Linked DNA regions of Saccharomyces cerevisiae S288C. The gene in region 1 interacts genetically with each later gene. Each region holds a gene or a part of one and is shown on either strand. Other genes may lie near its edges. The genes, in order: BIO2, TRM11, YER134C and SYH1.

Region 1 (3,678 bases):
TCTACCAGCTCTTGAAATAAAAATTTCGAACTCTTTGCAAAATTTCATCGAGAAAAAAAAAAGATTCGTATTTGCGGGTAATATTTTTTGGACATTTGTATTAGGAGCGTTATGTTCATTAATGTCATCCAAAAGATAGTTATAAATCTATGATTGTATGGTTTCTTTGACATATTTATAGTTAATATATATATATATATGTGTTTAATTTTATAAAAATTCCATCGTTTATATTCGATTATTTTTATATGTCAACCTTTTTTTTAAGAAATGTTCATATTTAGTCAAGTTCTTAATGAAATGAACGGTTGAAAGTACAAGGCAACTATCATTTCAAGATATAAAAAAATTGCCCAAAAAAAAAAGGCCATTTGATGAAATGTCTCATCGCGCTACGATTTCTGCTGTAATCAGAACTAAATGCGTGATCGGAAGTAATATTAGATATTGGATGCATAAAAGATAAAACGCCAGCTAACGATGGCAGAATAAATAGGTAAATATATATATATATAGGTTTTCTTAATAAATAAGGGAGAAATGTACAGTTAGAATCGTAGAATTATCCACATATCCCTATCTTCAAGATCTGTCGTACTTAAATGCCTCCATAGGTTGCAATCCCCATTTAGCCAACATTGCCTTGTCTTCGTCCCAACCGTTACACATTGTCGTCAGCATTTTCTTACCGGTGAAGATACTGTTACAACCTGCCATGAAACAGACAAATTGCTCTGTTTCTTTCATTGTATAACGACCAGCGGCAAGTCTTATAATGGCCTTTGGCATAACTATTCTCGCTGTGGCAATGGTTCTCAAAATTTCGTCGAATTGCAACTTTTTACTCTTTGGATCGGCAAGTTCCTCAGCCATTGGAGTCCCTTTGATAGCAACTAGTCTATTAATTGGTAGGGACTCAGGATGAGGAGACATATTGGATAATGTGTAGATGAATCCTATATGGTCGTCTTCGCTTTCACCGAGACCCAAAATACCACCGGTACAGGCTTTTATTCCAGATTCTTGGACATTCTTGATGGTCTGTAACCTGTCGTCGTAGGTTCTCGTGGTGATGACCTTACTATAGTGTTCTCTGGAAGTGTCGATGTTATGGTTGTATGCAGTCAAACCTGCATCTTTCAATTGCTTTGCTTGATCTTGATCAACCATACCTAAAGTAACACACGTTTCTAGCCCCATATCATTCACTTTGGTCACCATTTCCTGAATTCTTTTCATGGCTGATTTACGACCTTTCATGTCTCTCCATGCAGCACCTAGGCAGAATCTAGTAGATCCGTTTCTTTTGGCCTCTTCTGCCTCTTTAATCACTTCATCCACTTTAACCATTTTCTCAGCCTTTAGACCGGTATCGTTTCTCGAAGACTGCGCACAATACTTACAGTCCTCAGAACAACCACCAGATTTGATGTTCATCAATGTGCACAATTGCACTTTGGTTGGATCGTGCCACTTTCTGTGCTGCAATTGTGCTGCATGAGTAAGTTCGAGCAGTGGGGTATGATAAATTTCTTTTAATTGCGATTTTGTCCACGAATGACTTGGTTCATCTAAAGACAATGCATATTGTAGAGCACCCAGAGTACTAGCTTCTGAGGATGCAGTTGTCGATTTAACTGCGGCATTGGTTGCGTATTTAGTTAAAGCCGGTCTAGCGGTAGATAAATGACGGTAGATAGTAGACATCATACTGCACTAAATTGAAAATAATCGGCTAAGTTAGCTCTTCTGAGGACACCACTACCAGAAGAGTAAGATCTGAAAAATTTTCAGCAAGTATGGGAGCAAAAAAAGCTTTGCCCTTTTATATAAGATCTGCCTAAGAGAAGAAATAAAAGATACCAAGAGAATCTAGCAGAGTGGCAAACGAACTACATAGCCTGTAAATACAGATTAGGCAGCAGCGTAGCGGATTTTCCTCAGGCATCGTCTCTCACGTGAAATCTGTGGGGGCACCAGCGTGACAGGGACGGTTCTAATGCTTTGCACTTTTCAACAACTTTTTTCCATAACCAAATGCCGGCAAAATGGCTTCGAAGAAGACGCGAGACTTCATCCGCGAGTCATCTCGACATGACTATCTTTTGCTAGCCAACACGCCCCTCCGCAACTTCCCACGATAAAATTGTAAAGAACAGTACTGATGGACAGAGATTTGCGCAGTGGCATTTTTTGAAAATAAAATGAAAAATTATATATATATATTCCATACATAGTATATAATATGAACTCGTTTGACTTGGAAAATTTTAGATGCAACAGGCAATATCGTTGGGCTTTTTTATTTGATCATTAGCTTATTTGAATATGAAGGTAATGACCAAGGGCTACTAATGTCTTTCTATTAAGCCGTTTTACAATTGTATATTTTGTAATTTGCATCGCAGTCATAACTTCTTGCAAGAAATAGTAGTTTCACACAATGAGGTAGTTTCGTTGGAGATGCAGTAATAATGCAGAATACGGATCTCACGGACCCCAAGAGAAAGCTACGCAATCTTACGGCTTGTAGGTTCTCAGTTCCCAATCGATGCAAAATGGGTAAGTATTTTCAAGACTGAAATAAGGTCGCTTAGAAACGGTTATCCATTTACTATTATCTGGAAGCTGCTTTCCACAGCTACCTACTTTGGAGTAATGGTTTCCGGGAAGACTTCATCCTAGAGCCTCTTGCTGTTGTTATTCGAAGTTCAGATTCGTAAATGGTAGTACGTTCTGCTTTCGCAATGAATAACTAGGTCACATAAGCCCTAAATGCGTCAGTAGAAGATCAGATGCATTGACCACATCATATCCTTCTAAAGTAATTAATTGAGATTTAATATTTTTCGTACTGATGAGAAAGCTAAACTAGTGCAACTATTATAGTCACATTTGTACGGAAAAGGCAGAAGCAAGAACAATGACTTGAAAGAGCGTATAGCTATTTAACCATTTCCATTTGTATGCTATAATTCAAGTATTTCCACACTCTTAACTAAAACGAATCAGAAGAGTAGGCTACTAAGAAAGATGGCTATCCTTAATAAGTACTATCCGACGTTGAATTGAAGATTAAACTGAGCCACACATTCCCATCTTCTGCACACTTAGTTCCTTATTTAGAGACTTTTATGATAAAAATTTCTTCCGTTCACTGTTAAACAACCTTGGGAACAATGCTGACTGTGCAGGAAAATGACCTATGTTTGAAGGATGTTGCCACATAATTGAGGCATGTTAGCAGAGCATTCCCTACCACTGGAAGGAGTGATGGTTGATGTATTTTCCATTGAGACTGTGACATTGTGATACGATACCTAATCAACGACCCTATATAACTCATTAAAAATGGCTTTCTAGAAGCTACATCTATTTGATTAAATTGGTTCCCATTTTCACAAATATTTTGCCACCTCTCCTTCTCGCCAAGGATTTGTACAAAATTAACAGACCTTTTAGAATAAATATTAAATTTAGGTCAGCAGAATACGGCCACCATCTCATTCTTTACTAGATCAAGCGTCAATTCCAATAATTATAAAAATATAAGTCAAGAAAGCATCTTTCTTCGAGTCTCCTGCATTCGGTTTGCGTTCCTCTCTCGTTCTGCTTGACAAAAGAAAGAGTTTTTTATTCTCCTAACCAATAAATTGAAGCAATCAGCTATAGGGTTAG
Region 2 (3,788 bases), on another chromosome or scaffold:
AGGCATGTCTGTGACTACGGCGACTATGTCAACCGCAGTTACGTTACATCACTTGTTGAAAAGTATAGGGCCCATGGCTCCATCTTGACGTACGAAACCTTTTTCCGCGTTTTAACTAAACTCTGTTCATGGGGTACCTGCGGAAGGAAACCAGGTACGGCTATTACAGATATAGTAAACGTTGTCGAATCGTTTGAAGGGGCTGAGCCATATACAATAACCATTAAAGAGAGAGAAAATATTGGATTAATGGCTAGGCGTGTAATCGACGAGGGCAGGTTGGTATATGTGAAAGAAAAGTTTACAGAGTTTAATGCGGAGCTGATAAGGTACGTAGAATCCGATGTTTCTTTAGAGAACGTTGCTATGTTAGTTTATAAGAAATAGAGAGCTTTTAATTTTTATTTTTTTTCACTTGTATTTTTGACGGGCTATTAATTTTAAATGAAACTTTTCTACATGATGGAACATAAACATAAATATAGGTATAGATAAATTGTTCTTCTTTTTTTTTTTTTTTCTTTAAGAGAAAGAGTAAGTAAATATATCTTAAAATTACAAAGGGCTTATGCATCATTTCAGTTAAAATTATTGAAGTACCGCTCCCTGAAATTATCTTTTGAACGTTTTATGCCATGATTACTTGATCCATTGAAAGTGCTACCCCTATTAATATAAACCAGTAGTCTCCTTGACCATTTATTGAATTCTTGAACGCAGTTGTATTTTAGCTCTAGATTTTCGTGCATTGGGACAATAGTTTCAATATTGGCGTCGTTTGCAGTGGGCATCCAGAAGGCTAATCTTCCGCCAATCGGTAATCTTTCGGAAGAGTATTGTAAAAGATCATCCAGTAATGAATCTAGAGCATACGGTTTTTTGGTTGGAATATAATCGCGACGCAAATATGCCTTTTCACCGTCAATTTCCATATCTTCCTTGCCTAGAAATCTTTCTGGATCCTTAGCACCTAGGACTTTTATGCTTTCTCTGATACCATATGGAGGATCACACAAAATAGTATCAATGACAAGATTGTTTCTTAATGCGTTATTTGTAAAGTCCATGGTCAACACGTCGAGGAATTGAGAACTCTCGCCATATTTTTTGAAGTTGGCCGAAATGTTCACTTGAGCACCCTTACCACGAATCATTCTGCCATCTATATCCGAACCAATCACTAAAGAACCAAAATGCCCACCAGCTACCAAAAAGGATCCTGTACCTGCAAACGGGTCGTACATTATAGTTCCCGGTTTCACTTGAGCTATATTGGCGCTGACCAACGATAATTCTGCTTCGAAGCTAGTTGTACCTTTATAAGGTCTTTTCTTCAAATCATATTTCTCCATGGCACTCCTATTGCTCATCTGAACCTGCCTACCAAAATAAATCCTGGTGGGGGTCTTACCACCAACGTTTTCCGATATTGGTGTGTACTCTTCTATAACAGTGAAAACCTCTTGAGGATGTTTCATATCAATCTTTCCTTCAAAGCCAAGGTAACGGAAAGTTTCAATCTGCTCTACCCTCTTAGCTTTACTGTTGCCTTTATAGCATTCGAATTCGAACTTAAAAGTGGAATGTTTGAATTTCAATTGCAGATCCTGTTCAAAGTTAGACTGACGCTGAATATCTTTATGCAGCTCATCGAGCGTTGTACCCTGCCCCCAATACTCATAAATACCTCTGGTTAAAATAGACCTCTTAATCCAATCCTTTGCTTGCTGATCATTTTCCAGCTCTACAATAAAGAAAGGGCTATTGGCATCGTACTGCGAAAAGTCTATGGAAAGATTATATAGGTCTGCTAACGATTCCAGTTCTGCTCTTCTAAAGTTCAAATGAACTTGTACCATATACAGCAGATATTTCTTCATGCTGCCGTTTTTACCTTATATACAATGTGTTTAGTTATGCTATTTCATCTCCATATTACGGGTATTAAGACCTCGATGCCCATAATCATCGATTTTTTTCACTTTTCCCACAACGTAAACATTTCTTTTTTCTTCGGAAAAGAATCCAAAATACGGGTAATAAAAGTCTCTTAAAGTACTAATAGCTATAGATAACATTATGGAGGCTATTGATATACAAAATACTAAGAAATATAGGTTGCTGCAAGGAAGAAGATCAAAAACCCTCTAAATTTCGCTTTATCTATCCATCAAAAGTCCGGAGGGTCATGCTATCGAAAACCTATTGACTATAAATATCAATTTTTTTATCTCTTCGATTTGTTCTTGAAGATCTTGCGCAGAAGTTGAAAAACAAAGAGTAAATCCTAATGTAGATGCGTGGAAAAAGAAACATGCTCTTAAGGATCCCAACTTCTTTCTCTTCTAAACATCTATAACCTTGGAAGATCTTGCGAAATACTGGGCGGCTAAATCGAATGCATTTTTAATCTTACCCGGAAATACTTTCTTTTTTTTATTTATTTTTTTTCTTGCAGCCCCTCCCTACGAGCAGCGCCGAGATTTCTTGTTGGACAAAGCAAAAAAAGTATAAAAGGCGCATGCTTTCCACACGCCCAGGCGCTCTTAAATTTTCTTCCGCTCTCTCCTTTCCGCCACTGTAATTAAAAACAAAGGATTGAACAGTTTCGACTAGTTATTTAATTTTGCAGATAGTCAAGTATTAGTACAATATACTGTTATAAATTTTTTACGTGTATCTTTTACTTTTTAGTGTTTAATAACTAAAATCTCATACCTTACTAGATTTCTTTCTAACCTTTTTTGCGAAAGAAACAAAAAGAAAAAATACGGACAGAAAAGGTATACTCAATAAACAAGAAATTGAAAAAGCGTGCATAATACAAACAATTGGCCCTTTTTTATTCTGTATTAATATTACTGTTTATATTACAATCTTTTCATAAAAGACGCAAATATTTTATTTATAAAGAACTTTAGCAGTATACACAAGTCTGAGAAAATAGAGAATAAGTTAAATAAGCAATGAGCTCTGACGAAGAAGATTTCAACGACATCTACGGCGATGATAAGCCTACCACTACTGAAGAAGTCAAAAAAGAAGAAGAACAAAATAAGGCTGGCAGTGGTACCTCGCAATTAGATCAACTAGCCGCACTACAAGCATTATCTTCTAGCTTGAACAAACTAAATAATCCAAATAGTAACAACAGTAGTAGTAATAATAGTAACCAAGACACATCTTCTAGTAAGCAAGATGGCACTGCGAATGACAAGGAAGGTTCCAATGAAGACACTAAGAATGAAAAAAAACAAGAAAGCGCTACATCAGCAAATGCCAATGCCAACGCTAGTTCTGCAGGACCTTCTGGCTTACCTTGGGAACAACTTCAACAAACCATGTCACAATTCCAGCAACCATCTTCTCAATCACCACCTCAACAGCAAGTAACTCAAACCAAAGAGGAACGTTCGAAAGCGGATTTGTCTAAAGAAAGTTGCAAGATGTTCATTGGTGGTCTGAATTGGGACACTACGGAAGATAATCTTCGCGAATATTTTGGTAAGTATGGTACCGTCACTGATTTGAAAATCATGAAAGACCCTGCAACAGGTAGATCTAGAGGGTTCGGTTTCTTATCTTTTGAAAAACCTTCTAGTGTTGATGAAGTGGTAAAGACACAACATATCCTCGATGGTAAAGTTATCGACCCAAAAAGAGCTATCCCAAGAGACGAGCAAGATAAAACCGGTAAAATCTTTGTTGGTGGTATTGGTCCTGATGTGAGACCAAAGGAATTTGAAGAATTTTTTTCTCAGTGGGGTACGATTATCGATGCGCAACTG
Region 3 (2,992 bases), on another chromosome or scaffold:
TTTTAGGAAAATCATCAATCTATGGCAGGAATCAATAGTGTTGGAATAAGAAATGCATATTTGCCTGCGAAAAAAAGTTATTCTTTTTTTTTGGTTAACGTAGTTAAACTACTCTGTTAAAAATAATGGGTTAAGGTTCATGTTCGTCACATAATGTTTCGTACACTTAAAATTCAAACGCTATCAGTAGCATTACAACGTGTATGAAGATCATTGGAGAAAAGCAGATGGTTAAGAGCTTCTTGCACTGAAATTTGAAAATATTTGTCTGAACTTAGTAGTGAAAAGTGGTGAATGAACCAGGTTTTTATACATAGATATATGGTTAAGTTATGAAAACTCTTTTTGGAAGAACAAATTAGTACAAAGGCTGAGGCGGATTGGTTAAAGTTTTTAAATTAAAAGTGAGCTTCTATTTTGATAAATCACAAATATATAATTTTTAACAGTGATGTATCATCTTCCCATAAATGTAATGACTTCTTCTTATGCTCAGATGATGCTCTGTGAACTAAGTGCGCAGTCCTTCAAACCTTTCCACTCAGGTAATCTTGATAAAGTTTCCAAGATGGTCCATTCTCTGGGTCTCTTACATAAACAAACTTCACTCCGTATTTCTCCACTTCTTTGTTTCTACTTTCATCATCAAATAAACAAATCTTTTTCGATTTTAAATCGCTGGTATTATAAAGATCTTTCAAACCGTCCCTTAAATGGCCAATTTTACTTCTTTCTCCCCACTGAAATTCATCGAACAGGTTGGCCAACGGGGTTACGACACCAGCATACTTGACCTTGAATATTTTCAGTATTTCCTGGGCAATCTCAGGTGCCCACGTTCGTGACGCGGTCATTAACTTAACTCCATTATCTTTAAGATCACCTAGTATACGTGGGATATCTTTGTAGATTGTGAGCTCGTAACCATCTCTACATATAATTGTGAGAACTTCGCCATTACTACTTTTAACTGGCTTAAAGGGACCGTGCAAATGGGTATCACAATAGCAGGGCCAAATGGTGTAGTCCAAATCGAAGGCGGCCACGTCAGGGTATCCAGTCATAATAAACGCGTTGAGACTATTTTGGAGCAGGATTTGTAACAAAATTGTTCTCTTTGTAAGTTTAAGGACAAAAATGCTTGTTTCTCGAGAAGGTCTCCTTTTCGGCAGGTCCTTCTTCTAGTGCGTGAAAAATATTCTACTCAATCCCTTAGTATTCTTTGTAAACAATACACTTTAAAGAAATATGAATGCTTATCTGCTTTTCAACAATCATTTTAGAGTTCTTATTCACTGAGGTGCGAATGGGTACGAAATTTGTTTCAGGAGAATTTAGCTTGTTGCACACAAATTTCTGCCATTTATATCTGCAAGATCTGTTTCCCTCTTTCCAACTAGCGAGGCATATTAGAAAAAGAGTGAATAGTAACTTGTGTAAGTTTTGATGTAACGGTAGTATAGAGTACCTATAATATTCGCCGATTATATTCTCAAAACTTGTAAATAACGCCATGTCACCGTATGGAGAAAGTGCTAACCAAATTGTAATATCGACCAAGACCTTTTTCTGTGAATTATGTAAGTTTCTTAAAGTCCATGTCATGCTTGAAAGATTTTAATCAACCTTGCATTTGTGGTCGTTAAACTCAAAGGGGATATTCAAACGACAATCGACAACTAACTTCGAATAAACTAAGATTCACTTTATTGGGATATAATCAATTACCCTTCATTAAGTGGTGTATATGTTCCTGACGTATTGTCATTTTCGGGATAAGAGGTTTGATGACTATTTCTCGATTTTCATGTCATCCTCTTTACACCGTACGTGATAATACACTAATTACACGATATAACTGAGCAATGATATTTTAGAGCTTCATCTCCACAATTTCATGTGTAAATCTTAAGAATTGTAGATATATTCTATTTTTTAATGAAACTTTTTCAACAAATTAGGTTTCGTGGTCTAGTCGGTTATGGCATCTGCTTAACACGCAGAACGTCCCCAGTTCGATCCTGGGCGAAATCAATTTTTTTTTTCGAAAACGTTATAATTTACGTTAATTTACAAAGGGCATTCCTTTCATACTAAGCAATGTTTACTTCCAATCTCTTGAGACATCTTCGAAACTAGTTGAAAAGAGACAAATCCGCTTAATAACTAATAGTTACAAGAATGGCCAATCAAACTCTTGCCAAGCGATACAAGCTTTACAATCCTGTAACAAAAACATACTTTTAGCGGTTCCGACGGTATTCTTCTTTTTCTCCATATATTTTGCTTATGTTGGCTACTTTAAAATAATTACCGCTTCCCCCACCAGAAACTAAACATGAGCTAAAGGCGCAAAACTTAAAAAATTACATAGCCAAGACTGTTTTCAAGAAAAAAATATCAGACCACATTTGATAAAGTACATACCTCTGTTAACTCCCGTAATACACCCATATTCTTGTACTTTCTACAATCTATCACTCAAACTTCTCTATTATCCAACATCTGCTGTTGCATAGTAAAGTAGGCCGTAAACGCTCAAAACCGTTATCTTTAGGTTACCCTTATGTTTGAATCGTTTATCTCACATTGGCGGTGTTTTCCCCTCTCCTGTGGGCTCCAAAATCTTGGCCGTGGGAAGCTTCAGCGAGGGATTGTAGATGTAGTTTCAACACGTCGGCTGATTTATCCCGATTTTGTTAGTAGAAAAGGTTCTACTTCATTCTTGCTTGAGACGTCGTCCCATCAAATTTCTAACATAGTCTTTTTTCAAGGAAGGATATTTTTCAAAGCAGGACTGCAATTAGTCTTTTCCTTTTCTTTACTCCCCTTCCATCATAACTGTTAGTGAATAACCACTTATATAGCATAACACAATGGATCAAGAAACAATAGACACTGACTACGACGTGATTGTCTTAGGTACCGGTATTACCGAATGTATCTTATCTGGTTTACTCTCTGTAGATGGAAAAAAGGTATTACATATTGA
Region 4 (4,850 bases), on another chromosome or scaffold:
ATAAGAATCAGAACTAACTGAGTTATAAGAAGAAAAATCAAGACAGAGGGAGTTTAAAATGGACAGTAACTTTTATCACTAAGGTTATATTGACAAGTAGTGCTCTTTGGAAAAGGAATCTTCTAGAATCATCTTCGTTAAATTTCTTTTTTCATTGCCTTCGAAAAAAAAAAAGAAAAAAAGAAAAGAAATACACGTAACAAATGATTATGCGCTCAACCAACTTAAACACTTCTCATCTCCATTAAGAACCTTCAAACAGACGATAGATTCGCTAAATGATACGTTCTGCAATTTGAAAAATGTGCTTACCTTTCTCAATTCATGTGGCTTCAAACATTTAATCGATATACTAGCTATAGGTAGTTTGCACACGCTAACATATTATTGTAGCGTTCTTAGTACTGTTATTAGTTATCAAGATATTTAATTTCAATTAATTATACAAATAGATGGGAGTTATACTAGTTAATACATTGAATAGAAGATATACACGCGTAGTAAACAACTACTATGGAACAAAAAGGCTTCAAAATCTTTTTCCTTTCTTTTTACCAACAACTTGAAATTCCCAGTCTTCGGAACTGCCTTCAGGCATAGCTAATACTTCACTCCAGCTCAAGGGGTCATTAATTTCTTCTTCGCATTCTAGACGTTTTTTGATGAAATCAGTGGCAAATCTCCTACCGTCCATTGTTGAACTGTAGGAATATATGGTATCTGCGATAATTTCCTTGGATTCTGAACCTGGGGGCAAGCTAAGTAGCATTTCTAAAACATTATCGGGCTGAACACCCGTATTTAGTTTTAATTGGGATCGGCACCATCTCAAAAATTCTTGACGCTTAGAGACAGAAGCGTTACCGGGATAGGCAGGGATGCGAGACGGTTTAACTTGACGGGCCTTTAAAGTCGGGATACTAGTGGATGAGCCAATTTGTTTACTCTTATCGCTCATTTTAGTTTTTGTTGCGGTAGATAACCCCCCAGAAGAACGCAGTGTGTCCAAACTGATATATGACTTTGACTGGTTACCAGCGACAGGCATGGTGGAAGCGATGTGGGTTGTGCTCTTAGAAGAAACCGTGGTCCACGCATTGCTAGTATTCGAAGAGTTCAATGCCGAAGAAGATGGGGAAGGCGTTCTTGAAATGAAATCATCGAGTGAAGAAGCGCGGTTGAATTTCTTTGTTTTCTTTTGAACTTGTTCCCACAGCTTTTTCTGCTCTTCAATAAAAGTGGAATCTGGTTTAATATCACCATTGTTGGCCTTGTTAATTTTAGACTGACTGTTAATTTTGGTACTGTCTTTCATCAATTCTCCTTTAATATCAACTTTGATCGGTTGCTGTGGCTTTATACCCCAGGCAGAACCAGTTTGAGTTTTCGGAATTTGCGCCGAGCTTAATATTTCTTTCTGTAGTTTTAATGCCTGCTCACGATCTAACTGAGTACGATTAGGTTTTTTTTCTTTCTTGGACGAGTTCTCCTTCTTCAAATCTTCAAGAGCAGATGAAATCTGATTATAAACAGCACCCTCGGGTTTCTTGTTAGCCCAAGGCGCCAAATTAGTGGTTATGGAAGTTGCGGTGTTTTCGGAAGATGGAGTTTCTGTATCTCCAGTTAAAATGTTATTTAGCAATTCTTTTTGCTTTTCTTTCTCTAATTTTCCTTCTTCCTTCTTCTTCTTTTTTAACTTCTCTTCTTCCTTTTTCTGCTTTTGCTTCAATTTTTTCTCCTTCTTTAATTTGCGCTGTTCTTCTCTTCTCTTTTTTTCTTCTTCTTGTCTTTGTTGTTCTTCCAATAATTTTTGTGCCATCAGTTCTGCCTTTGCAAACCTTTTCTGCTCTTCAGAAGTCATTTGCGGCGTATCTTTGCTTTTCGGCTCATCAGCAGTGGATATTACATCCTTACGGTCTACCTCTTCAATCTCTGGTTGAACTTGATCCAATATATTTTGCTCTTTCTCGCTTCCTCGAGATTCTTCCTCCTGCTTAGTAGGATTTTTGACAATAGATTCCTCTTCATTTGTTATGTTAGAAACAGTTCTGCCCTCTTCTGAAAAAACCTCTTGCTCCTCTGGAGAAGCTTCCTCGTGGGAAGGAACCTTCTCTTCATGGGAAGAAGTGGTTTTATTAGATCTACTAGAAGTCGTGGATAGAGGAGCGGTATATGCAGATATCTTTGGTATGCGATCTACCTTTGTGATATGACGGCCGTCAACCGGAACCCAAACCTGAGTTTCATGATAGTAACTTCCATCTTCAAATTTAAGGCCAAGGATTTCTTCATACGTAAAATCATCACTATGCACATCAGCAACAGGTATCAAATCTCTTGACTCAACTTTTTGCTTTTCTGATGAAGTTGGTGCAACAAGTGGAACAGCATTCAAAGCTCTAATAACAATGAAATCAAAGGCGACAAAAGGGTCTTGATAATTATTCACCAGAGTAGTCAATTCACCTAGTCTAATAAACCGATCATTTACACCAAATGGCTCAGGAGATGTTGCTAATCTACAGATTTGCAAAGTTGGAGTAAAATAACCTCCTTGATACCACTGTGACATATTATTGGTACCAAAAGGCCCCTGAATGTTACCATTAGAGTCAATGTATTTCCACTGAGATTCTATCCCCGGTGGTGGGGGTTGATTACCAACGTTGGGGGCAGGCCCTGTTGCGTTGTAGAGATAAGGAGCTACATTTGGAAATGTGCTCGAGGGTTTATTGAGAACGGAAGGGCTGCTGGCGTTCATATGCAGGTTGGATGATGCTGCACTAAATGCACTATTGTTTTCCTGATTAGCAGATATTTGTAGCGGAGATCCAGTAATTTCAGCGTCATATGCATTGAAGGGAACAGTACTGGCTCCACTAATCGCATTACTCCCTGGCACAAAAGGAGATGGAACTCTTTGGACGCCAATAGAATCCATAATGGAGGAGGGCCTTTGCAAAAGAGCCGCATTGTTCATGGTTGGAGTATTGCTATTTGATAATGCAGCAGTGTCTGAGTTCGCGTCTGCAAGTTTAACACTGTGAAGGTCAAACGCTAGAGAGTTGATAGGATTCATCACTTACTGCCACTGCCAATCTTGTGCAAGCTGTGGCAAAATCGACCTTCTCCATGCGTCCATGGTAAATGAAATGTTTTGCTTTCTTTTTCGTGCTTGCAAAGTTTGGTAGATGAAATTTCAGAAAGCTACTGCCGTACCAAAGTACAATAATAAGGTGAAAATGGGAGTAGGAAGTAATAGATGGCATTGAATGCCTCATTTATTCATTATTCATGTTTTCTTAACATTTTGATTCAGTTGAGTGCATGCTTTTTTGAAAAGACTAAACATTACAAGTTTTAATCATGTTGGCCCGTTCCAGGGTGTGCTTGCAGACAATCACTAGACGGTTGGCAGACTTTCCAGAAGCCAATGCTATTAAGAAAAAATTTCTCTTTAGGAAGGACACCTCGACCATCAAACAGTTAAAAGGACTGTCTAGCGGCCAGAAAATAGTACTCAATGGATGGATAGAGCAGAAGCCAAAAAGAGTTGGGAAAAATTTGATCTTCGGACTTTTAAGGGACTCTAACGGTGACATTATCCAGTTGGTTGATAACAAATCGTTGTTGAAAGGCTTTACTTTAGAGGATGTGGTTCAAGCCGTAGGTATACTCTCTTTGAAGAGGAAGCTATCAAATGAGGACGCAGATGAGTACGAAGTGCAATTGGAGGATATTACTGTGTTAAATGCATCTAATAAAAAACCAGCGCAAATGCAGGATTTTAAATTGTCAGCCATATACCCACCTGAGTTCCGCTATTTGCAATTGAGAAATCCCAAATATCAAGATTTTTTAAAGAAGAGGTCATCTATCTCTAAGGAAATAAGAAACTCCTTCAACAATTTTGATTTTACGGAGGTCGAGACCCCAATGTTATTTAAAGCTACCCCAGAAGGCGCAAGAGAGTTTCTGGTTCCAACAAGGACAAAGAGATCCGATGGTAAACCATCGTTTTATGCTCTAGATCAGAGCCCTCAACAATACAAGCAACTCTTAATGGCTAGTGGTGTCAACAAATATTATCAAATGGCAAGGTGCTTTAGAGATGAAGATTTAAGAGCAGACAGGCAGCCTGAGTTTACACAGGTTGATATGGAAATGGCCTTTGCTAATTCTGAAGATGTCATGAAAATCATAGAAAAGACAGTTTCTGGGGTATGGAGTAAATTTTCCAAAAAACGAGGATTATTGACTTTAGACAGTAAGGGTACATTAGTGCCTGCGAAAAAGGAAAACGGCACAGTATCTATCTTTCGTATGACCTACGAACAAGCCATGACCTCATATGGTATTGACAAGCCAGATTTGAGAGCGCCAGATTTGAAGATTATCAATTTAGGCGAGTTCAATGCCTTTAGTCATTTGAACAAAAAATTTCCCGTTTTTGAAGTAATTATTCTAAGAAGTGCCTTTTCAAATATGGAAGAGTACAAAGAACGATGGTCGTTTCTGACAAATAACAGTAATTACAATTATAGAGTTCCAATAGTGCTACCAATTGAAAATGACGAACAAGCTAATTCAAATTGGTTTGAGAATTTTCATGCAATTGCCACGTTTGAAAACCCACATCTAATAACCAAATTTCTGAAACTGAAAAAAGGTGACATTGTATGCGGTTGTACGAGAGAGCCAAACCATTCCATTTTCGAGAATCCTACTCCCCTGGGAAGATTGAGACAGTTGGTGCTACAAAGTGAGCATGGGAAAAATATCTATCATGCTGTCAATAAGGATGTTGCCTCATGGATTGTGGATTTCCCGTTATTTTCTCCCGTTATAAT

The links.
Region 2: mutations in BIO2 (region 1) and TRM11 together harm fitness more than expected from each alone (negative genetic interaction), as found in Saccharomyces cerevisiae (2 studies listed by BioGRID).
Region 3: mutations in BIO2 (region 1) and YER134C together harm fitness more than expected from each alone (negative genetic interaction), as found in Saccharomyces cerevisiae (one large-scale study listed by BioGRID).
Region 4: mutations in BIO2 (region 1) and SYH1 together harm fitness more than expected from each alone (negative genetic interaction), as found in Saccharomyces cerevisiae (2 studies listed by BioGRID).

The regions. Positions count from the first base shown.
Region 1 is NC_001139.9:1,063,231-1,066,908, forward strand, and holds BIO2 (biotin synthase), read right to left. Parts: upstream 1,711-3,678; coding exon 583-1,710; downstream 1-582.
Region 2 is NC_001147.6:84,878-88,665, forward strand, and holds TRM11 (tRNA (guanine-N2-)-methyltransferase), read right to left. Parts: upstream 1,881-3,788; coding exon 579-1,880; downstream 1-578. Other genes in the region: TRM13 (tRNA:m4X modification enzyme), read left to right, coding at 1-387; HRP1 (Hrp1p), read left to right, coding at 2,967-3,788. UniProt on the Saccharomyces cerevisiae protein: Catalytic subunit of an S-adenosyl-L-methionine-dependent tRNA methyltransferase complex that mediates the methylation of the guanosine nucleotide at position 10 (m2G10) in tRNAs.
Region 3 is NC_001137.3:436,740-439,731, forward strand, and holds YER134C (Mg-dependent acid phosphatase), read right to left. Parts: upstream 1,065-2,992; coding exon 528-1,064; downstream 1-527. Other genes in the region: YER135C (uncharacterized protein), read right to left, coding at 1,213-1,605; GDI1 (Gdi1p), read left to right, coding at 2,877-2,992. UniProt on the Saccharomyces cerevisiae protein: Magnesium-dependent phosphatase which may act as a tyrosine phosphatase.
Region 4 is NC_001148.4:352,334-357,183, forward strand, and holds SYH1 (Syh1p), read right to left. Parts: upstream 3,080-4,850; coding exon 530-3,079; downstream 1-529. Other genes in the region: aspartate--tRNA ligase MSD1, read left to right, coding at 3,367-4,850.